Arabidopsis thaliana: one gene and its partners. The protein of the gene in region 3 interacts with the protein of the main gene of each other region in a biochemical or structural test. Each region holds a gene or a part of one and is shown on either strand. Other genes may lie near its edges. The genes, in order: PFA-DSP1, OEP80, TOC34 and AKR2.

What was found.
Region 1: the proteins of TOC34 (region 3) and PFA-DSP1 form a complex in vitro, tested with the Arabidopsis thaliana proteins (one study listed by BioGRID).
Region 2: the proteins of TOC34 (region 3) and OEP80 form a complex in vitro, tested with the Arabidopsis thaliana proteins (one study listed by BioGRID).
Region 4: the proteins of TOC34 (region 3) and AKR2 form a complex in vitro, tested with the Arabidopsis thaliana proteins (one study listed by BioGRID).

The regions. Positions count from the first base shown.
Region 1 is NC_003070.9:1,423,796-1,429,401, forward strand, and holds PFA-DSP1 (Phosphotyrosine protein phosphatases superfamily protein), read left to right. Parts: upstream 1-1,743; 5' UTR 1,744-1,864; coding exon 1,865-2,130; intron 2,131-2,220; coding exon 2,221-2,314; intron 2,315-2,439; coding exon 2,440-2,535; coding exon of another isoform or gene 2,536-2,604; exon of another isoform or gene 2,605-4,103; coding exon 4,104-4,161; intron 4,162-4,275; coding exon 4,276-4,319; intron 4,320-4,412; coding exon 4,413-4,598; 3' UTR 4,599-5,074; downstream 5,075-5,606. Other genes in the region: AT1G05005 (PPR containing protein), read left to right, coding at 5,253-5,466. UniProt on the Arabidopsis thaliana protein: Cleaves the beta-phosphate at the 5-position of soluble inositol pyrophosphates.
Region 2 is NC_003076.8:6,621,506-6,628,411, forward strand, and holds OEP80 (outer envelope protein of 80 kDa), read left to right. Parts: upstream 1-1,691; 5' UTR 1,692-1,817; coding exon 1,818-2,525; intron 2,526-2,618; coding exon 2,619-2,712; intron 2,713-3,086; coding exon 3,087-3,169; intron 3,170-3,277; coding exon 3,278-3,375; intron 3,376-3,516; coding exon 3,517-3,586; intron 3,587-3,863; coding exon 3,864-3,957; intron 3,958-4,137; coding exon 4,138-4,219; intron 4,220-4,305; coding exon 4,306-4,341; intron 4,342-4,444; coding exon 4,445-4,598; intron 4,599-4,672; coding exon 4,673-4,813; intron 4,814-4,989; coding exon 4,990-5,060; intron 5,061-5,181; coding exon 5,182-5,260; intron 5,261-5,336; coding exon 5,337-5,452; intron 5,453-5,569; coding exon 5,570-5,717; intron 5,718-5,800; coding exon 5,801-5,870; intron 5,871-5,981; coding exon 5,982-6,136; 3' UTR 6,137-6,389; downstream 6,390-6,906. Other genes in the region: GNL2 (GNOM-like 2), read right to left, coding at 55-540; AT5G19630 (alpha/beta-Hydrolases superfamily protein), read right to left, coding at 6,642-6,906. UniProt on the Arabidopsis thaliana protein: Plays an essential role during early stages of plastid development.
Region 3 is NC_003076.8:1,473,503-1,478,270, reverse strand, and holds TOC34 (translocon at the outer envelope membrane of chloroplasts 34), read left to right. Parts: upstream 1-1,836; 5' UTR 1,837-1,989; exon of another isoform or gene 1,990-2,482; 5' UTR 2,483-2,498; coding exon 2,499-2,600; intron 2,601-2,687; coding exon 2,688-2,795; intron 2,796-2,896; coding exon 2,897-3,021; intron 3,022-3,123; coding exon 3,124-3,388; intron 3,389-3,479; coding exon 3,480-3,548; intron 3,549-3,640; coding exon 3,641-3,802; intron 3,803-3,898; coding exon 3,899-4,009; 3' UTR 4,010-4,244; downstream 4,245-4,768. Other genes in the region: AT5G05010 (clathrin adaptor complexes medium subunit family protein), read right to left, coding at 10-181, 258-500, 651-874, 963-1,002, 1,132-1,134; SUN1 (SAD1/UNC-84 domain protein 1), read left to right, coding at 4,501-4,768. UniProt on the Arabidopsis thaliana protein: GTPase involved in protein precursor import into chloroplasts. Seems to recognize chloroplast-destined precursor proteins and regulate their presentation to the translocation channel through GTP hydrolysis.
Region 4 is NC_003075.7:16,837,610-16,842,492, reverse strand, and holds AKR2 (ankyrin repeat-containing protein 2), read right to left. Parts: upstream 2,962-4,883; 5' UTR 2,747-2,961; exon of another isoform or gene 2,649-2,746; 5' UTR 2,632-2,648; coding exon 2,595-2,631; intron 2,566-2,594; exon of another isoform or gene 2,499-2,565; coding exon 2,365-2,498; intron 2,284-2,364; coding exon 2,071-2,283; intron 1,977-2,070; coding exon 1,828-1,976; intron 1,762-1,827; coding exon 1,575-1,761; intron 1,446-1,574; coding exon 1,353-1,445; intron 1,072-1,352; coding exon 932-1,071; intron 834-931; coding exon 734-833; 3' UTR 544-733; downstream 1-543. Other genes in the region: NTRB (NADPH-dependent thioredoxin reductase B), read right to left, coding at 1-275; CLC-E (chloride channel E), read left to right, coding at 3,148-3,835, 3,929-4,132, 4,214-4,677, 4,847-4,883. UniProt on the Arabidopsis thaliana protein: Exhibits chaperone activity toward chloroplast outer envelope membrane, mitochondrion outer membrane, endoplasmic reticulum membrane and peroxisomal proteins, by recruiting specific proteins containing a single transmembrane associated with an AKR2A-binding sequence (ABS) and subsequently binding glycolipids (e.g. monogalactosyldiacylglycerol (MGDG) and phosphatidylglycerol (PG)) present in the membrane of the target organelle.

The DNA of each region.
Region 1 (5,606 bases), on a different chromosome or scaffold from region 3:
GGAAAGTTCTTTAACGGCATCCAAAACGCTTTCGTACGTGGCCGAGTGCTCGCGGCGCAATAATCCTTGAGAATCATAAGGTATATTCCCTGGAATGTACCTTTTTTGTTTTTCTTATAAAAAAACTATCTGGTGCATTTTGTTTTTATGGAGTAATTTATCCAATTAAAGTCCAGTGTGGGACACTAAACATTACAAATTTTATGTCTTTAGCTTAGTTATCATCTGTTTTTTTTTAATTAGAAAAGAGTAGTTTTCTGGTGTGAGTGTTATGTGGAAGACAAATATGTGACGTGGATTCTAATAATGTATTGTCGTGATGTGGTTCTTTTTGCATTATTTCGTTTTGATTATGTAATAGACATATATTTAAATGGTGCGATTATGCACCGAAGAAAAACATTCGTCTCCATTTTTCTTTATACGAAATTTGACCCCAAAAAAAAGGTAAAACACGGCGTCCGTGTTATTATGTAGTATCATGTATGACAGAAATGGCAACTACAGTAGATAGTTTGGACCGAATTTTATTTTCACACAATTAAATAGTTATTTCAAGGCAGTAACAAATTGGTGGAAAAAAAAAAAAAAAAGGCAGTAACAAATATTAAAACCGAATATTGGCTAAAATTATACATTTCAAAACAATATTATGAAATTGTTTAACAAAACAAAATGTGAAAGGAACATAGAAGTAATTAATGTACTCAGATTACGATCCCATAGAACTTAAATAAAGGTGCGTTTATGAATGCCAGATGACTCAGATTAGTGATTGTTCTTCCCACTTAGCAGAGTAATTGCTCTTTGTCCTTTGGAATCTCTCTCTCTCTTTTTATTTCTCTGTGTTTCGCTTGGAATCTATATTTTCGCTATTTCCTGGAATGATGATATATATGTATGTTAGTATGTAGTAGTCAATATTTTTGTATATTGTGAATAAGTGACTTTTTCAAGGTAAATATAGGTCAGAAACTTCAAATTCAAAATATTAAATATTATAATATTGGTGAAAATATATAGTCAAAAAATGATTTTAGGTTCGGTTGATAATTTATTCAATGAGAGTGATTTACCCGAATAAGATGATTGTGTGTGAGCAAAAAGATTCCACAATGATGCCAATTTAAGCTTCAACAAGTGCTTTCCTATTAACAAGAACAATTTATGTAATATCATTTTTTTCGTTTGTTTTGCAAAACTGCAAAGTCATTTTATTTTGTTTACTTTAATAATCCTTGAAAATGTTATAACAGTTATTTCCTCAAATTAGACCATCATACTATTATTATTGTTATTATCAACCGTTGATAAAAATGGTAGTAGCATGTACAACTAAGATAGACCGTTACAAAATTCGTGTATTGTTAATTATTATATAGTTTCCGTATGTTGCTGTTTTCAGCTCAACTTGAGTAAATATAAAATATTAAACTGTTTATTCTAATATTGGATTCTTTTGTGTAGTGGCAACTTATTTTTTTCTAAGCTTTTTTTTTTTACAGATTACGGATTTCAGTATGAAATTGTAGATCCAATCAACTATTTTCACATATGCTAAAAGGTATCTAAAAAGTAAAAACACTTAACAGATTATAAACAAAAAAGCTTTTAAGATAAATGTCACAAATTCTTTAAAAATAAACAAATAAACAGCTATTGACAAACAAAAAATAAAAATAAAAAAGGAGTCCTTGCTGGGTCCATCTCCTTTGCGTTCTTTTTCGTCTGTTGAATTTTGAACAGAGTCACAAGTCTCTCTCCATATAAACCTCCCCAAGGTCGACGCTACGTAACGACCATCTCCATTACTCGACTCTCCTCACCTAAAGATTCAACCTTTTCTCTGTTTCCCAATTCAGAGATGAAGCTTGTGGAGAAGACGACTACTACAGAGCAGGACAATGGAGAAGATTTCTGCCGCACCATCATCGAGGTTTCCGAGGTTAACAGAAACGTGTTTCAGGCTCCGGGCGGTGAAGCTGATCCCTTTCGAGTTGTCTCCGGCGAAGAACTTCACCTAATTCCGCCGCTCAACTTCTCCATGGTCGATAACGGTATATTCCGGTCTGGATTCCCTGATTCAGCTAACTTCTCCTTTCTCCAGACTCTCGGTCTCCGCTCAATCATGTAAAAGCTCCTTCCACATTCATGACATTTTGTATACTATATATCAAACTTTCGAAATTGCTGATTTTAGGTTTTTTCGAATTTGTGAAGATACTTGTGCCCGGAGCCCTACCCAGAGAGCAATCTCCAGTTCCTTAAATCCAATGGAATCAGGCTTTTCCAGTTTGGTATTGAAGGCAACAAGGTAACCATCTTTCTTCTCCTCTCTCTTCATCAAGTCTCCGTTTTTAATTGCTCTGTAATTCTAAACCTTACTTGGATAGTTCACTAGGAGAATTCTCTGAATGGAAAAATCATATCTTGCTGCAGTGTGTTCCTGACTTAGACAACGAGATTTCCTTGCATTTATGGAATTCTAAGCATCAGAAACAGGGTCCCTTAACTAATGGACTTTCGAAAACTTTGGTACACACTACATATATTAACTGGAACACGATACTATTTCTGGAATATATCATAGTTCATTCAATTTGAAGGGTTTTATTTGCTTGATATTTATTGCCTAATTGTTCTTGAAAATCCTGTCTCATTGTTGTTTACTTTAGACTACTAAAACTGTTTCTGTGTTTTCTTTCTCTTGAATTTGATCCTTCATGGGCACTCTGTTCCAAGCCATATTTTATTATTATGAGTTTACCAGAAAAAGAACACATCTTTCTTTATTGTTTTGCCTCTTTGGCTCTTTCCGTCTCTCTTGACCTCCACTGATTTGGTCCCACTCTTTGTTTTTCTGCCCCTTCAGCAACTATTCCCCACTTGTTCTTTCTACTCTCTATTTATAAAATTAGATTATGGACTACGTCAAAATATTTGCTGAGCTACTTGTTGCTAGTGTTGTCAATGATCCCACTACTCAATAGCTTACTTTCTGTTGTTATTGTTTTCTTGGTTCATGTTTATTGAGTGTGCACTTTTTTATACAGATATGATATCTTATGAAATCATACATCAGCGAAAGTGTTTTTGATTGTGTACAAGTAAACCGTTTTTTATGGTAAAAACTTGTAGAAAGCGTGTTGATCGTGAAAGTGTCCATATTAGCTGTAAGGTTTGAAATCTAGATAAGGTTAGGAATTGCTGGGAAAATGATAGATGGTTACGTTGTAAGTCGGTTAATGTTGTTTAATACGTACCTTTAGTTCCTTTCCTTTTCTATGTGTTAGTGGCTCATGTTTGGGCAAATCGTTGGTAAAGTGATAGAATAACCAAAAACTTCACCATAGAGTCTTGAACTTATTACCCTCATGAGTTACCATTCGCCTTTCCTGAAGAGATGGGTATGAATCTAATTTGAGTTGATATGTTTGAAAGAAAATATGTTTGTTCTGGTATGCAGTAGCTATCATTCTCTCCCCCCACAGAATCCACCTTTTCCCTGTCGATTCTACTCCTAGGATAGTCGATTCTTTATGTGGGGAGTCGTTTAGATACTTACTACCATAGTTCCCTAGTTTTGCTTTTACACTAAAGATGAAAATAAAGTGGCTTTCTCTTCTTGGTGTAGTGATTTTATTGGAAGAATCTGGATCTCATTGACTTTTGTTTTTGTTTCTGGACTCAGATTCTTTATAATTAGTGTGACAACTTCGATCTTGATAGGAAACCTTTATCGCTGATATTCTTGGCTTGCTATGCTTTTTTCTTCTCATAGATTCGTCTTTCAATGGGACTTTGTGTTTATTCCGTGTTGTTGTTGTTGTGTGTGGAGATAACTTTTTGATATAAAAAAGTAAAGAATCTTTCTCTCAGTACGCAACCAGTAAAAGGTATCACATTAGACATGCTTCATAACTTGTAGACTTTGTCCTGTTAATGAACCTTTGCATGGTTGTCTCTCTCGACGTTGCTTGTGCATGAACCTTGATTATTAGATTGCTTTATCTTTTCCTAATCTGCTCAATTTAGTAGTGTGATTGATCTTTTGACATATAATCTTACAATTTTAAAAAGACATTTTTTCTTCTTATTTTCAGGAGCCATTTGTGAATATTCCAGACCATAAAATCCGCATGGCACTGAAAGTGCTTCTAGGTAACTATGAATCATATAGAAGCGCTGAAATAAAAGAACACATGTAACCACACTTTTTGTATGCTTTCTAATTCTAACTTGGTTTATTAACAACTCTCCTTTTAAAATCCTCAGATGAGAAAAACCATCCTGTTCTGATTCATTGTAAGCGAGGCAAGGTAAATCATTCACTCCAATCCTAAACATTTCATCTTTTGTCTCCACCACTGAAGAAGAAAATGAGTTTCTAAGTATGAATCTGGAATTTGCAGCATCGGACCGGTTGTCTTGTTGGTTGCTTGAGGAAGCTCCAGAAATGGTGTTTGACATCGATATTCGACGAGTACCAACGATTTGCAGCAGCGAAAGCTAGAGTTTCAGATCAAAGATTCATGGAGATATTCGATGTTTCCAGCTTCAGTCATATTCCAATGTCATTCTCTTGTTCCATCAGGTAAACAGGGGAAGCTAAAATCTTCAGATAAAAAGGAGAGATTAATCATATTAGAGTTCCAGAGGAAACATTCTTCTCTTTCTTTACCTTTCTCTGGAATCAATAATACTATTTCGAGAAAAGAAAAGGTTTTCGTTGTTATAATGACTTCACTCTGTTTTTTTACTGCTCAGTGTAAGCATAAAGGTAGATAATTACGTATATATATAAAGTAAACTATACAGGAGTTTGTTTAGGAATATATGTATTTTCTTGGGTTATCCCGAATGTTGCTTAACGATTATTAGCTCATATATTTCAATTCTTCAGAACATGATTTGTTATTATCGTGTGTAGAGGAAAATGCTACTACCATCAGTGTGTAAATAATTTGTTCAATGTAATGCTAAACCGAAATATATGGACTAATTTGATTTACTGACCAATCATTAACATAACTCTATAACTTCTTTTTTGAATCAGTTACGGAATTAATCATTATTTTTATTAGTTGAAAAAGACATGCTAGATGTGTGAAGAGTTTGTTAAGTCACGAATATGAAACCTAACTAAGGCCAGTACCAATTTTTAGCTATAAGTGAGTGATAGTTGTCCTTATAGGTCACGAATACGAAACACTCTACTGGAGTGTTGTTAATCATTTACTTTAATAAAAAGCATGACACCGATTCTTCAACAACATGCAAAGCGCATTCTTGCTTGCGGCTACAAGAGTTCTTTGTTCCGTTCCTATGCAACCTTATGGTCACCCGAGGCTAGCCAAACTCTGCTTATTCGGGTCAAAGCGTCTTTGCAGCAACATGAGAAACAATTGTACACCAGAGGGCTCATAAGAATCTTCGAGATTCGGATCGATTTTCTCAAAAACGCGAGTTTTTTTTATTTCTTCTAAATCCTGATCTTCAACCTATGTACCAATTTGTGGTTTCTTACATATTATGTGCTCTTGGTTGTGGTATTATTAGGCATCAAGATATATGGGTAAAGAAAAGGTGTGTACTCTGTTTCAGAA
Region 2 (6,906 bases), 5.1 Mb from region 3:
AAAAGAGGACAAAATAAACATTTGTAGTAAAAAGATTATAGTTAATGAACGTACAGAGGATGGATGTTTCATGATTCCGGTTAAAACTTGAAGAATCCTCATCATTACAGCATCTTCAGACACCAAATCTGTTTTCTCCAAACGACAACTAGTAATCCCGGAGACAATAGAATTCATAGCATCTTTTGCACCAGGTGTTTTCTCATCGAAGATCTCGATTTTAAGGATCTTTAAGATGGAGGAAAGAGCGACAGCTGTGGCGCTAGCCGGAATCTCATCGCTTTGAATAACTTCGAGGAAAGGAGAAAGATAAACCGAAGGATCTATGGTGCGCCAATCTTGTTGAGGATTGAAAATAAGAGCTCTAAGAGATTTGAGAGATTGTTGGACTGATGAATCACAGTGGTCTGTTTCTTGGGGAGAAAGGTAACTTTCTGAAAGGGGTCTACGAATGACGGCAAGGACTGCACCAACCTCCGTGTTAAGCATGCATGATATCCCTAGCTCTTTCCGCTTTGCTCTTACGGCGATACGATCCATTTCTCACCTTATCACACTCTTCTTGCCGATAAAGAAGAAAAATCATTCAGCAACTGTTTTTTTTGTTGTTCTTCGTTTTTATTCTTTATGTGTACGGTGTTGCCTTGCCTTGGTTTGATCCTATATTTAGTATATAAGTTTTAGTGGCTGAGACTCAGTGATGGGTGAGTTTCAACCATTTGTCATCACACATCTAGGAAAACTCCATCATCAGCTACCGTCAATTTCTTTAAGGCTTAAGATAGAAAACTAATGTACGTTCTGCAAAAATTCAGATTTAAGGATACATTATTTGGATCAAACGTATGTGTTCAAGGTTTTTTTTTCTTCTTCTTTTAAAGTAGAAGCAAACTCTACGATGATTGGAGTGGAAACCATTTTTGTAGGATTAGGCCTCTTCATACTGATCTGAGTCAGACTTTGCATAGCTGAAGTTTTTTTCCTCTACTATTCAATTAACCAGTAGAGAAAAACTGACGCTTAAGAGGTTAATGGAGCTTAAATTTTACCAAATTCAGACCATAACTCTATTTATGTACTGGTCCTAGTGTTTCCAAGAGAATATATCTCTCAGCTTAAATTTTACTAAAATTCAGACCATAACTTATTTATGTACTGGTCCTAATAAGATGAATGTTTTAAGGGTTTATGGCTTGCTTAAGAAGAGCCAAAACTCTCTATAATTAACAAGTCTAAAATTGACAAAATTAATATAATTGGTTTTGTTACATGTTTGTGACCATAACTACTAAAAAAATTCACAGAAAAACTATTCAATAATCCTTGTTTGTTCATGTGTGTGATCTATTAATCAATAAAATCAAGAAAATGGATAGGAGAAATCAACTAACGTTTTTTTCTCAAAAATCTATTTATTTATTTTGATTAACATGTTTTGAACGTTAGTTAACTAATTTACCCTACAAAAAACTAATTTACCGTCAAATAAATGAGAAATCCCCTTAATGAGAAATTGATTATTTTCCAAAATATTTATTTGACGCAATTTTATTTTCATTTTTGAAAATCCAGTAATTTTACAAAACCTAATAATATACTCAAAGGAATGTTTACATAAAACATTCAAAAAAATAATTTGTTTTTTGTTTGTTCGTAAATGGGCTTTAACATCACCTCCTTTTCACTCTATCATCTTCTACTCCGAGTCTCCGAATCAAAAAAAACCCTAGCTCTTATTTTTTGTTCTTAGATTTTATCTCTTAAGCTCTTCTTCTTCCTTGACATTTCCTCAATTTCACTCCCGAGTACGATTAACAATGCATTGTCACAACGATGATGTTCGCTTCTCTTCATCTTCTATCAGAATCCATTCTCCATCTCCCAAAGAACAACACTCTTTACTCACCAATCTCCAATCCTGCTCTAAAACCTTCGTCTCTCACCTCTCAAATACTCGTAACTCACTAAACCAAATGCTCCAGTCGCTAAAGAATCGCCACACTCCTCCTCCACGTTCGGTTCGTCGTCCCAATTTACCGACTCAGATGCTCAATTCAGTAACCCAGCTTATGATTGGGAAGTCTTCTCCAATTTCATTGTCTCTTATCCAATCCACCCAATTCAATTGGTCTGAATCAAGAGATGAGAACGTTGAGACAATCCGTGGACTAAGCTCGCCTCTGCTCTGTTGTGCCTCTTTGTCTCTAACTAGACCTAACGAGTCGACTCAGTCAGTGGAAGGGAAGGATACAGTACAGCAGCAGAAGGGTCACTCGGTGAGTCGAAATGCGGAGGAACGAGTTCTGATTAGTGAGGTTTTAGTAAGAACGAAAGATGGTGAGGAACTTGAGAGGAAGGATTTGGAAATGGAGGCATTGGCTGCTTTGAAAGCTTGTAGAGCTAATTCAGCGTTGACTATTCGTGAGGTACAGGAGGATGTACATAGGATTATAGAAAGTGGGTACTTTTGCTCTTGTACTCCTGTTGCTGTTGATACACGAGACGGGATTCGGTTGATGTTTCAGGTAATATTTTGATTGTTACTCTTTTTGTTGGAGGAGAAAGGTCTCGTTTTTATGTTTCTGGGATGCAAATAATTCTCATTTTCTTGCCATAAGGTAGAACCAAACCAAGAATTTCGTGGGTTAGTCTGTGAAAATGCAAATGTTCTTCCTTCCAAGTTCATACATGAAGCTTTCCGAGATGGGTTTGGTACGTATCCTCCAATTTAGCTTGTTTTTTTTTCTTCTGTACTGTACTAGACTTATCTGTCAATTCATTGATTTACGTTGGGAGTAAAATGGATTAATGATATTGGAACCTGACAAATATTTCGAGTACTAATGATGAAGCTAAGAATTTTCTAACACATGGTGTAAAATGTGTTAGCCTTGAATGAAGAAGATAGATTAGAGGTAGGTAGTATTCTCAAAATGTATCCATGCTCCAAAACAGAGCATAATTTGAAGTTGCATTTAGTTTACACATATTAATGTATTGAGGCTAGTTAGGTGGATTCCTTCTGTTCGGTGTGTGTTTGATTGGAGAGGGTAATGGTTAGTAAATGTTGGTGTCAAGCTGTGTAGGGAAAGTGATTAATATTAAGAGACTGGAAGAAGCTATTACATCCATCAATGGATGGTACATGGAGCGTGGTCTTTTCGGAATTGTAAGTGCTCTTTTTACACCATAATTACTTTTTCAAAAAAAAAAATCATCCTGGATTCAGTCTTATACTTTGTGGTTAGAATCATCATTCTGTTGTCTGCCATTGTAGGTTTCAGATATTGATACGCTTTCTGGAGGTATAGTAAGGCTTCAGGTTGCTGAAGCAGAGGTTAACAACATATCCATCCGATTCCTTGATCGTAAGACGTAAGCTGGTGCCAATCCCTCCCTTATGAATGTAGTTTATATTGGTTTAAATTGTAGGCAATTCTGGATGGCACTGGTAGCTTCCTTTTATTTCAACTATTAGATTACGATTTCATTGATAATGGTGCCTTCTATATTTAGTGGGGAACCAACTAAAGGGAAGACTAGCCCTGAGACAATACTACGGCAACTTACAACAAAGAAGGGACAGGTATTTTTTGGGCATTTCTCAGCTTAGATGTAAAGATAAGTCGCTGACTAAAACATCATAAACTATCTGAGCTGTATTTTTATGCTAAATAACACTTCTGAGTGCATCATCTGTGTATGAAATCCTTTGGAGATCTTATTTTTAATTAAGGTTAATCACTCTTTATGGTATCATGTATGTTTCTTCGTAAAATTTGGCCTTAAAGTCTTTATGCATGAGCGTCTAAGTAGGGCCTCTACATACACATCTTGTCTAATCTGGCTTTTGGTCAATTTAGGTCTACAGCATGCTTCAAGGGAAGAGGGATGTAGACACTGTGCTAGCCATGGGAATCATGGAAGATGTTAGTATTATTCCTCAACCTGCAGGAGGTGTGTAAATATATTTCTTTCTTTTCAGCTAATACTTTTAATTTTCATCTTGTGCTTAAGGTGCAGTAGTATGAGTGAAGAAAGTATTTTCCTTGCTTATCCTTAGGCACAGTAACAAAAGGTTTTGACAGTGTCTGATTCTGAAACTTTCTTCTTTTCCTTGTTTTTTATTCCTGTTAGATAGTGGGAAGGTTGATTTGATCATGAACTGTGTCGAGCGTCCCAGTGGAGGCTTCTCTGCTGGTGGTGGGATATCTAGTGGGTAAGTTTTAGTTTGTTTGCTACTTACAGCGATTCAATTTTTTTCTTTTGTAGCTTGATGACAACTTTTGTCCAATTCTTTTGTAGGATCACAAGTGGCCCCCTATCAGGATTAATTGGAAGGTAAAAGTAATGTATATTTTATTTGTAATGATTTTTTTTTTATTTCTGGCCTAGGCTGTGTGTATTACATTACTGATGTAGTTGAAGTAATCATTTTATGCAGCTTCGCTTATTCCCACCGCAATCTGTTTGGAAGAAACCAGAAGCTTAATGTTTCCTTAGAGAGGGGTCAAATTGACTCTATATTTCGTATAAACTACACTGATCCATGGATTGAAGGAGATGACAAGAGGACGTCCAGATCTATTATGGTTCAGGTAACACCTTTACTGGTTATCTCAATGAGATTGCTGAGATGACTAATAAACTAATGAACTTCATCTTGAGTTAGAATTCAAGAACACCGGGGAATCTTGTTCACGGCAATCAACCAGACAATAGTAGTCTCACAATTGGTCGGGTTACAGCAGGTGTTGAATACAGTCGTCCATTCAGGCCAAAGTGGAATGGTACTGCTGGACTTATATTTCAGGTCTCTACTGTTCCCAATATTTTCTAAGTTTCTGTACCAATCCAGAGTAATATTGGTGTTAAAGCAATTAAAATATATGTTCTTGTCGTTTCTGACTAGATCCAAACTGGTAAATTTTTTACTTTTTGACCAATATATACGTTACCCTTAATTTCGTTTTGAATTTCATGTTTCAGCATGCTGGTGCTCGTGATGAACAAGGAAACCCTATCATTAAGGACTTCTACAGTAGCCCTCTAACTGCAAGGTATATATATGTCCCAATTCCCAAAGAATGATTTGTCTTTGGTTCTGCTCACTGTTTTCACCAATGCTGTATTTGGCCATATGAATTTGATAGATGCCATTATTAATGTTTTCTCATGCAGTGGTAAGCCCCATGATGAGACCATGCTAGCAAAACTTGAAAGCATTTATACTGGCTCAGGTGACCAAGGATCAACGATGGTCAGTCTGATACCTCTGTTGGTACATCTTCCCCTTCTTTTTTCAGTGCCTAATTCTATCTGTATTTTTATACCAGTTTGCGTTTAACATGGAACAAGGGCTTCCTGTTTTGCCCGAATGGTTATGTTTCAATCGAGTGACTGGACGTGCCAGGAAAGGCATACACATTGGACCAGCTCGTTTCCTTTTTAGGTATGCTAACTTCCTTTGAGGCATATAATTTTCTTGAGGTCTCTATTTACCTTTTGGGATTCGAATCATCATTTCTAAAGTTTTATATAGTGTATCTTACCTTGTTCATGTTTATAGTCTGTCTGGTGGACATGTGGTGGGAAAATTTTCACCTCATGAAGCATTCGTCATCGGTGGAACAAACAGCGTAAGAGGTTACGAAGAGGGCGCTGTAGGATCTGGTCGGTCATATGTAGTTGGTTCAGGGGAGCTGTCTTTCCCAGTGGTGGGTTTTTCTTTGAACATTCCTAAGATCTCATTTCACAATGGTGTAAAAATCATGACTCTCATTCTTACCCTATTGTGCAGAGAGGACCGGTCGAAGGCGTCATTTTTACAGATTATGGCACTGATATGGGATCAGGATCCACCGTCCCAGGTACAGACTAGGCTTTCGTTTTTTTTTTCTCCTTCTGAGCCTTTCCATATATGCTTGTAATAGCTTTAGAATCTCAGGGAACCTTCATCTTTGTTATTTTCTGCCCTTTAGGTGATCCTGCGGGGGCAAGACTGAAGCCCGGAAGCGGTTATGGATATGGTTTAGGGGTGCGTGTTGATTCCCCGTTGGGGCCGCTACGCCTTGAATATGCCTTCAACGATCAACATGCGGGAAGGTTTCACTTTGGGGTTGGTCTGCGGAACTAAATTTTCCTGTTTCTTTTTTAGATTCGATAAGTGTTTTGTCGGCCTTTGTCGCACATTCATCTAGATGATGCTTGTCTATTTTGATAATTTATATCATCTTATGTAACTCACTGTTTTGTGAGTGGTTTGTGCATGGAGAGAGATGTCGCGTATGAATGCTTTTCATGTAGATGATTTTCATTTTACCAAACTCCCAGTTAAAATTATTAATAGAACCAAGATTAGGATTTTTATTCTTCATCCTAGTATGAACCTGATTTGTCTCCTTAGGATGTCACATGATCGTGAGCAAACTCTTCTCGATGCAATTGCAAAGCTTGAAGAAATGTCCGATAGAGTGATAATAACTCAACATATGAAAACAAGTCTTTTAGTGCGTAGTGTACAGGGACATCAAACTCCTATCGTGCTAGTAAAGATTTATCCAAGTAATTTCCGGACATACACCAACGTAGTTCGACGAGGATGTAATAATCCCCTAAGGTCTATCTTTTCATGTGGTATTTTACAGGGATGAAATAAATTTACATATAATATCGGTCACCTGAGAATCATATTCAGGTCCTTCCATCTGGAAATGACTAACGCCTTCAATGAGGTGTGTTTCAGTGCGTCCGACTGCAGATTTCAGCTTCTTCTTTAGCTGGCTAACGCTAGTGAACCCGTCTTGTGTTCCCATTACGAAGAGTTTGGGTTTAGGGGATGAGAGAATGGCCTTGTGGTGTCGCCCAAAGAGAATCGAGGCCATTAGGCCAAATGGGTATCCCAAA
Region 3 (4,768 bases):
CACACTAACCTTTTGGTTTGGTATTGATAGGGTCGACATCTGAAATCATGCCAAACCCAGAACCACTTCCATAACCACCGCCGCCACCACTGGATATGCTCAATTCATTGAAACCACTTTCAAGTCTTCCAGATCCCATTGAACCCATGGACGAAAATCCTCCTGGCTTATTCTTTTCAATCTAGGAATTACATAAGAAATATTAATAGGAGTTACAGAAATAGAATACAACAGCAGGGTGCGCTCCTGTCATGTACCTTGCTTTTGTCAATCTCATTAGCCTTACGCTTCATCACGTCCTTAGTGTCATTGATCTTGCTCTGCATAACCAGTTTATGCAACTTCTCCTCATGACTTTCCATTTCACAATACTGCTTCACCTGGGCAACTGTCACACTTTCCTTGTGCCCAAGAGATATGACTTCATCAAATGCAAATATGAGCTCAAAAGATGCCCTGGAAATCCCTTCTTCATCTAAAGACATGGAATACTCAGGTACCTAGAAACAATCAAATGATCAAACAGCACTTGGAACACTCACTTTTCAAAAGAACTAAGAACCAGTACACATCCAGAGTCAAGGCAATAATCTCCTCAAATAAAGTAGCAGAAGTAAAAAAAAAAGAAAGAAAGAAAGAAAGAAGCATACAAGTTTGGAGAGCAAAGTAAGGGTGGCCAGGTCTTCTAGAATGTTACTCTGCTTAGTTGTAACAAGAAGCAGGAACAGAGCTTCAATAGGCTGATAAACATATCGCACATTCTCCGTCTCGATATAGGTATGCTGCTTTCCCATTCCAACCAGCTTAGGAAAAGCTGCAAGTAGACCTTCGATTCTGATACGGGACATATCCACATAGTGTCTGGAAACAATCACTACATAAAAAAGAAGAAAGTTAGAAAAAACGCAAAAATATTGAAAAACGAGAATTCGAAGACAAAGTCAAAGATAGATGAAAATAACCTTTCCCAGACTTGACCACAATGGCAGCAGCAAGCACAACCTATAAAGCACAGGTTCCAACTTTAGAAAACGCGCCAGACACTCATCAAACACTAAAGTTAACACCAAATTGCGAAGATGCACTAAAAAGGAAAAAGAAAAAAACCAATCATAGAACAAAAGTCAATACCATTTTGATTATTCAGGCTCGAACAATCTCGGCGATTATAAGAAAGGTAATGCGAATCTGAAATACAAAGAACCAATGTTAGAGTAAATCCAGTTAGAGCGAGATCAGAAGAAACAAACGGGATTTGATCTTCAGGATCATAAATCACGTAATAGAGGAAGAGATCTCGAATACACGAATCCAAACGAAACTAGACTAGCGAATCGAAAATATAAAAAGAATTCATCGCAGATCCAGCGGATCTACGAGCATCAGAGGCTCATAATCGAAAAACATAACTGTAGAATCAAAATCAACACAAGCGGATCAAATTCATGAAACAGGATCGCGAAATTTAGAAGGAGGAGAAAATTCTTAATAATGGAGATCCACAGAAATGTAGCCAGAGAGAACATTCATTCAAAGGAAAACGAAAATCATCACCATCAGTGAAGGCGAAGAGCGAGAGAACAAGACGATACCTTGGGAGTGATCGAAGGAGATGAAATCACCAGTTTCTTCTTCACAAGCTCGCCGAGTAAAAAAGATGAAACGAGTCTCAGATTAAATCCTGGTGTGTGTGTTAGAGAAAAGACGATCCACAAAACAAGGACAAGTAATCTGGGCCGTTTCAGTTCCTTATTGGGCTTTCCAACCCAGTAAATGGAAGAAAAAATGCCAAAAGGGCAAATTCGTCATTGGTGCAGACCGACGACATTCGGTTTAGTCCGGTTGAATTTTGAAAGGAATGTACTTTCATGTATTGAGATTTGTAGCAATCAATCATCTTCAAAAGTCAATTTCAGTTCTAGGGTTTTAATTTGATACGAGGTCAGCGAATCCGGCGACGAATATCCGCCACTAGTAACTCTAGCTCAGGTAGGTTACTCTCTCTCTCGTTTTCTTTCTTTATCTGGTTTTCACTTCGTCCACTTAGAAGTATGCTCATTTGATAAATTGGCATTTGACCCCAGTTCAGGATTTAGGATTCTGATTATCTCTCAATACTTGATTAGTTTAGTGCTTAAGTTATTAGTTTTTGGTATGCCCACTTGCGCCATGTTCGTTTCTAAAGCAATGAGATTATTTTCATTTAAAGATCTGGAAAAAAGAAACTAATGGAGACAACGGCAAATGAAGATGGATTTTAAGGGTTTTTGTTCTTAGTAAAAAAAAGTTATCTTCTTTTTAATTTTCTGAGACTTTAATTGCTAGAAAGTTATAGGATTGATTCAGATAGTGGAATCAGACAACTTTTTCTTTTATGGGCGATTACTCATTTTTGTTCTTTGGTCTTCTGATTGTTTAGTTTCTTAGCAGATGATTTAGTCTTCTCTTTTGTGATCCTTTTTTGCTTTCCTTGGAAGTGTAGGTAAGGATTTGTGTCCATGGCAGCTTTGCAAACGCTTCGTGAATGGATCGGTATCCAGCAGTTCCCACCTGCTACTCAATCTAAATTGCTCGAGATCCTTGGGAAGTATAAAGAAGAGGTTCCTTTCTTGTTTCTAGCTTCATCTGCTTTCTGTTTGTTTCTTCTTGTCTTAGAGAGATTTAAGAAAGAAAAAAAACTGGTGTAGGATGTGAGCTCGCTAACGGTCCTTGTAATGGGGAAAGGTGGTGTTGGAAAGTCATCAACTGTGAATTCAGTTATAGGCGAGAAAGCTGCTGCAGTTAGTACTTTCCAGGTGCCAAGTTTAATGCTCTTCTCATGGCTTGTCTTTATGACTATTGGCTATCTTTCTTTTAATTTTTCTCATAGAAAGTGTGTGATTTTCCCTCTTTATAGTCTGAAGGACTGAGGCCTACCTTGGTCTCTCGCACAAGATCGGGATTTACATTGAATATCATCGACACTCCTGGTCTTATTGAGGGAGGATATGTGAATGATCAAGCCATCAACATTATAAAACGGTATGATGAACTGTTTCCAGGTCTAAGGAGTTACTCTCCTAATTTGGGGCTCATTTGTGGCATTTGTATTAATTTGGATTCGTGGATGTTGAATTTGAACAGATTTCTCCTCAACATGACTATAGATGTGCTACTATACGTAGACCGTTTGGATGTGTACCGGGTGGATGACCTTGATAGGCAAGTTGTCGGTGCTATAACTGATGCATTTGGTAAAGAGATATGGAAGAAGTCTGCTCTTGTTCTCACCCATGCTCAGTTCTCTCCACCAGACGGGTTAAATTATAACCACTTTGTCTCCAAAAGATCTAATGCTCTTCTAAAAGTTATCCAGACAGGCGCTCAACTGAAGAAACAGGATTTGCAGGTATAGTTTTTTCCTCCTTACATAAATGTCTGTAACGACCTTGATAGTAGTCAAGTTAATAGACTCACTTACCTCTGATCTTTTATTGTAGGGTTTTTCTATTCCTGTCATTCTTGTTGAGAACAGCGGAAGATGCCATAAGAACGAAAGCGATGAAAAGGTCAGTTGATTGGTTTTGTCCACGTTCTCTTTTTCTCGCGTCTTGTAGTAGTTGGACCAATCTTGAAGTCGGATTTTCCAAATTTGTGACAGATTCTTCCATGCGGGACTAGTTGGATTCCCAATCTGTTCAACAAAATCACAGAGATCTCTTTTAATGGCAACAAGGCGATTCATGTTGACAAGAAACTGGTCGAAGGGCCAAACCCAAACGAAAGAGGAAAAAAACTGATTCCTTTAATGTTTGCATTCCAAGTAAGCCCCTCTGAACCATTCAGTAACAATACAGAATAAGGCTTGATCAAAACATCATGCATCATTTATTCATCTTTTGATGGTTTGAAAATGCAGTACTTGCTGGTGATGAAGCCATTGGTTCGAGCAATCAAGTCCGATGTTTCGAGAGAGAGTAAACCGGCGTGGGAGCTGCGAGACTCCGGTTTAGCAAGTCGAAGGTCTTGAGTTGTGGACACGAGTTTTGTTTGGTTTGTTTGTCTATCTGAGAGATTGTTCTGTAGTTGAAATTGTGATACAACTCGAGAAATGTGGTTCACAGATAATTACTGTCGCAAAGTTCTCTCATCTTAATTACATCTTCTTTAGCCTCTCGTAAATCGTAATTAAGAGCTACTCTCTTGGTGAAAATGATTAGAAGAGATAATTCCATTTTGTCATTAATGGTAAAAGTAACCGCTGCAGTTATTTTTGACGCGATGCAAGTTTTGAAATAAAATAAAAATTTGAGTTAAAGAAAAAAAAAACCGATGTTTAAAGGAGGAATTTGGCAAACGGAGAAGACGGTTCAGAGAAGATCGTTTACTCTTTCCTCAATTTCGAACAAAGTTTTCGAATTTTCCAACTCTCTCTAGTGAATTTAGGGTTCTGATTTCGACATTAGTGTAAAGATTTGTTTTTTATCCGAGGGGTGCGATTGTGTAGTCAAACCAGATCAAATGTCGGCATCAACGGTGTCGATCACCGCTAATACGGCGGCAGCGACTAGACGGACGCCGATTCTTGCCGGAGAGAAAAAATCAAACTTTGATTACCCTCAAAGCGAATCGCTTGCGAACGGTGGTGTTGGGGAAGCCGGTGGTACGAGTAGAGATCTGAGCCGCGGTGAAGCTACCCTTGATCGATCTCAGGGACAAGATTTGGGTCCTGTGACGAGAAGGTCTGTTTCCGCTGCGACGGGGACTAATACCACCGCTACGCAGCGCC
Region 4 (4,883 bases), on a different chromosome or scaffold from region 3:
TGACCACCGGGAGCGATGTCGTTAGCCATCCATCCTTCGAAGAGAAGAGGTTTAAGTTCAGCCCTAGCTGCGTAAATCGCCGCCGTGTGTGCCGCTGGGCCACTTCCTACGATACAGAGCCTTGTGTTGTGAGTTTCGAGACCATTCATGACGGCGGATGAAGAAAACGCGGCGGAGGCGAGAGACGGCGGTTGAGAGAGAGTGGATTCACCACCAAGCCGTGCAAAGCTTCGTGCTTTGCTTATCAAACACTTTAAACGACTCACACAGTTCATTAGGAACGAATTTACTTGCAAAGACAAGACCTTTGATTCACACCAAAAAAAAAAAAAAAGACAAGACCCTTGATTTTGTTTTGATTCTCAAATATTTTGGGTTTTGAGCTTTGCGTAAATATTGTCAAGCTTGGGAATTTGGGCAATACAGTAACAGAAGAATGGAATAACTTGGAGATCAAGTAGTTTTTCTTACATATCCTCCAAACCAGAATGATTCTTCCAAATTGAATCATTCTGTAGAGGTCGACGAAATAAAGAATATAATCATAAATTAAATCATTGATTGCTATTTCTTTCTTTATTGACTTTTAAAACAACATAAGAGACAAATTTAGAAGAAGAGAGGAACTAATAAAAAGTGTACACAAAAAGCCTGTGAAACTGGTTCAGGACACACACAAGACAAATGCCTCAAAGACAATATGAGCTTAGAGCTTTCCTTTAACCAGCAGAGCTCAAAGGAAAGCATCCTTCTCAAGCAGCTTCACCACCTCCAGCTGGCTGTTGAGCTTCGCTACATCAATTGGCGTCTTCTCGTCTAGGTTTTGCAGAGTGCTGCAACCACACACATCAACCAAAGCACATATAATTAAAGTCCTGAAACAGTGTTTAATGGAGTTGTTTCATTATAAGTACTGTGTTGTGAGACTTACACTGCAGCACCATTCTCCAGGAGAAGGCTTACACACTCTTTCCTCCCGTAACCAGCAGCATAATGCAGAGGTGTGTTCTTGTTTTTGTCAACCGCATTAACACTTGCTCCAGCATCGATAAGAACTTGAGCACATTTCAACTGTTGATAGGGCTCAACAGGGTTAAACTCAGTTCAATCCATATTCATAAGCAAAATCTTTAGTATGCAAGTAATCGCCAGTTCCATCTCATTGCTCTTTCACCAAATATTTGAACTTGCTATAAGTAATTGTGTCATGAAACTCGTAGACGTAAGTAGACTGGTTACTTTTCTACCAATTGAATGATTATAAAGATTCTTAACTTCACAGCTACTGAAAAAAAGAGAACCATCTAAATCCGAATATTTAATTGCCGTGAATTGATAAGAGAATTGCATACCTCGCCGTATCCACAAGCAAAATGCAATGCTGTCCTTCCTTCAGAATCTTCTTCATCTTTGTTACCACCAGATGCCAAGGCAGCTTTCAAACCCTAATGAATCAACGAATAAAAATCCAATAACGAGTTCAACAAAACAAAACTTGGAACATCTAATTCCTCAAGCAACACGCAAGATAAATCTCACATGGTCAAGCATATTAACGTAGGAAGCAGTCTAACCTCAACATCACCAAGACTGGCAGTTTGGTGAACAATAGACTCTTCTTCTTCACCTTCTTCTGCTACCTCAGGTTCAGCTGAAACAGTCTGGTCTGGTAAGCCAGCAACAGGCATACCCATTGCTTCACCCAGCTTTTTCAGCACTTCTGGATCATTCCAGTACCTAAAACAGAATAAATAATTCTTCCTTCATAAACAGAAACAAACTCTACAGTTTCTCTAAAAAACATTGAAAGAAGTTTGTATCACTCACTTCATCATGGCAGAAGGACCACCAGCATCAATCTCATCTAGTATAGGTTTCAACTCTGGATCTTCTTTCATCCGCGCCATACGCTCAGTAAAGTGTTCTGCTGTTTCAGGATTCGAGAAAGCATCCAAAAAAGGAGACATTTGTGGATCCTGTAGGCAAAAAAAATAAATAAAATCAGATAAGACACAGAGCTTCATTCAAAGCCACACCTCGATTAGATGGAAAAAGTCATCAATTCCTAACCTGAACTAAGGCGGTACCAAGTTTCTCGGCCATTGTCTTAAACTCAGGGTTATGCATAACCTGTTGCATTGTATTGACATACTGTTGAGGATCAAAGTTAGGGAAACCACCTTCCTGGCCAGCGTTAGGAATAGATCTCTGAAGCTGCTCAGCCAATTGGTTAAACGCAGGATCTTTAGCTATTTGCTCAGCCATTTCTCTGATGCTAGGATCCTACAAAAAAAACCATTATCAATTAAAAAAAAACTCAAAGAAGATAACTTTTCAATTGTGCTAACAGCAAAGGTAACTTACGTTGAGAATACTAGCCATATTAGAGAAATCAAAAGCATTGAAATTCAAGCCAGGCATAGCTGATGAAGTTGAACTCCCAGAAGCTGATTCCGGCTTAGAACTCTTATTCTCCTCCGTCGATTTGGGTTTCTCATCTACAGTAAACAAATTACAATGAACCAATAACCAAATCTGACTAGAAACGATTCATTATCGCAGATCAGATTGTATACTGAGAAGAAAATAATCACCTGAAAGAAGAGGATTTTTCTCCGAATTGGAAGCCATTAAGTATGACTAAAACCCTACAAAAAACACAATTTTGTTTTCAGGAAAAGGTGTAAACAAGAGATTCAACGAAAATAAGCGAAGAGGAAGACAAAGAAATCGAATCGACAACTACCTAAGAGAATTTAGTAAGAAAAGGAAGAAGAAGAAGAAATTAACCCGAAAAGACAATGTTGTGGTGGCAAACGCTCATGAAACTTGAAATACAGATAATCTTTCTTTTTTTTAATATGACGACAAGAGAAAAATTATTTATTTATCAGCTGGATTTTGGATTGAGAAGAAGATCAACTGCGAGGGACAACAGCCACTGCTTCTCCATTGAAGTTTGAACCTAAAGCTAAGAGGCCTTTTATTTTTAATCAAATTTATTGTTATTGGCCCATATAAACCTGTTTACCTCAAGGCCCAAGCCCATGCGTTTGAATAATAAGATCAGCCACGTAAGATTTGTGATTTAAGATCAAATTATCCGTTAATGGATAAACACGCGTCACTTCACGGAAGCAGCCGTTCATGGCAGCCACGCTTCCACTCTGTGCTGCCCTCCGATCTCCCGTCTCTTCCCGGAGATTCGCTCCAATTCACAAAACCGACGTTCCTTTTCAGTTCAATGTCGTCCTTTCACCGTTTTTCGGTTCCGTCGCTATTGGCGGTAGAATTTTCCCGCGTTTACCGGCGGCGAAGCAGGAGACTGATCAGGATGAGGTTGGATTTGATCAGCAGCCGTCTCAGGAGCTTGCGATAGCGTCGGCTTGTTTGGTTGGTGTTCTCACTGGAGTTAGTGTGGTTCTATTCAACAACTGTGTTCACTTGCTTCGAGACTTTTCCTGGGATGGGATTCCTGATCGTGGAGCTTCGTGGCTTAGAGAGGCACCGATCGGTTCCAATTGGTTGCGTGTTATCCTTGTTCCGACTATCGGCGGTTTGGTGGTGAGCATCCTCAATCAGCTTCGAGAATCTGCTGGAAAATCTACTGGAGATTCTCATTCTAGTCTCGATCGCGTAAAGGCAGTGTTGCGTCCTTTCCTTAAGACTGTTGCCGCATGTGTGACGCTTGGGACTGGAAATTCGCTGGGGCCGGAAGGTCCAAGTGTTGAAATTGGAGCGTCAATCGCTAAAGGTGTGAATTCTCTGTTCAATAAAAGTCCTCAGACTGGCTTCTCACTTCTTGCCGCTGGCTCAGCTGCTGGCATTTCCTCTGGTTTGTTCATCTGATATTTGCTAATGTTGTTCTCTCTTGCGTATGGAACTCTTGATTGATTCGTTAAGAGGACTTTGTTATATGTTGTTACAGGGTTCAATGCAGCTGTGGCTGGATGCTTCTTTGCAGTTGAATCCGTTTTGTGGCCTTCTTCATCAACTGATTCATCAACTTCACTTCCAAACACAACTTCTATGGTTATTCTTAGTGCTGTTACTGCTTCTGTGGTTTCCGAAATCGGTCTCGGCTCTGAACCTGCGTTTAAGGTTCCTGACTATGACTTCCGCTCTCCTGGAGGTAATATGCATTGCCATTCTTATGCTTTTTACGCAAGGGAACCAGAAACCAAACTTATGAGAGCTGGTCACTGATTTTCAGAACTTCCACTCTATCTTTTATTGGGCGCTCTGTGTGGCTTGGTCTCGTTGGCATTATCTCGATGTACATCATCCATGACATCTGCTGTTGACAGTCTTAACAAGGATGCTGGGATACCAAAGGCTGTATTTCCTGTAATGGGTGGATTAAGTGTTGGTATCATAGCTTTGGTATACCCTGAAGTATTATACTGGGGTTTTCAGAATGTGGATATTTTGTTGGAGAAACGTCCATTTGTGAAGGGTCTTTCAGCTGATCTTTTGCTTCAGCTGGTAGCGGTCAAGATAGCTGCAACCGCATGGTGTCGGGCTTCTGGACTTGTCGGTGGATACTATGCTCCTTCTCTCTTTATTGGCGGGGCAGCAGGAATGGCCTATGGAAAGTTTATTGGACTTGCTTTGGCTCAGAACCCTGATTTCAATCTCTCTATCTTGGAAGTGGCATCTCCACAAGCTTATGGTCTGGTACTGTTCTTATGTGGTCAATGTTTCAAAATTGTCTTAATTTCAGACTTTCTTGATTGGTTACCTATCAATACTTTGAACAGAATATTTTTTCGGGTTAACTGAGAATGGATGCTAGTTTTTTTGTAGCTTCATTGCCAATGATCCTGTTTGTCTCATTGTTTAACAGGTTGGAATGGCTGCTACACTTGCGGGGGTTTGTCAAG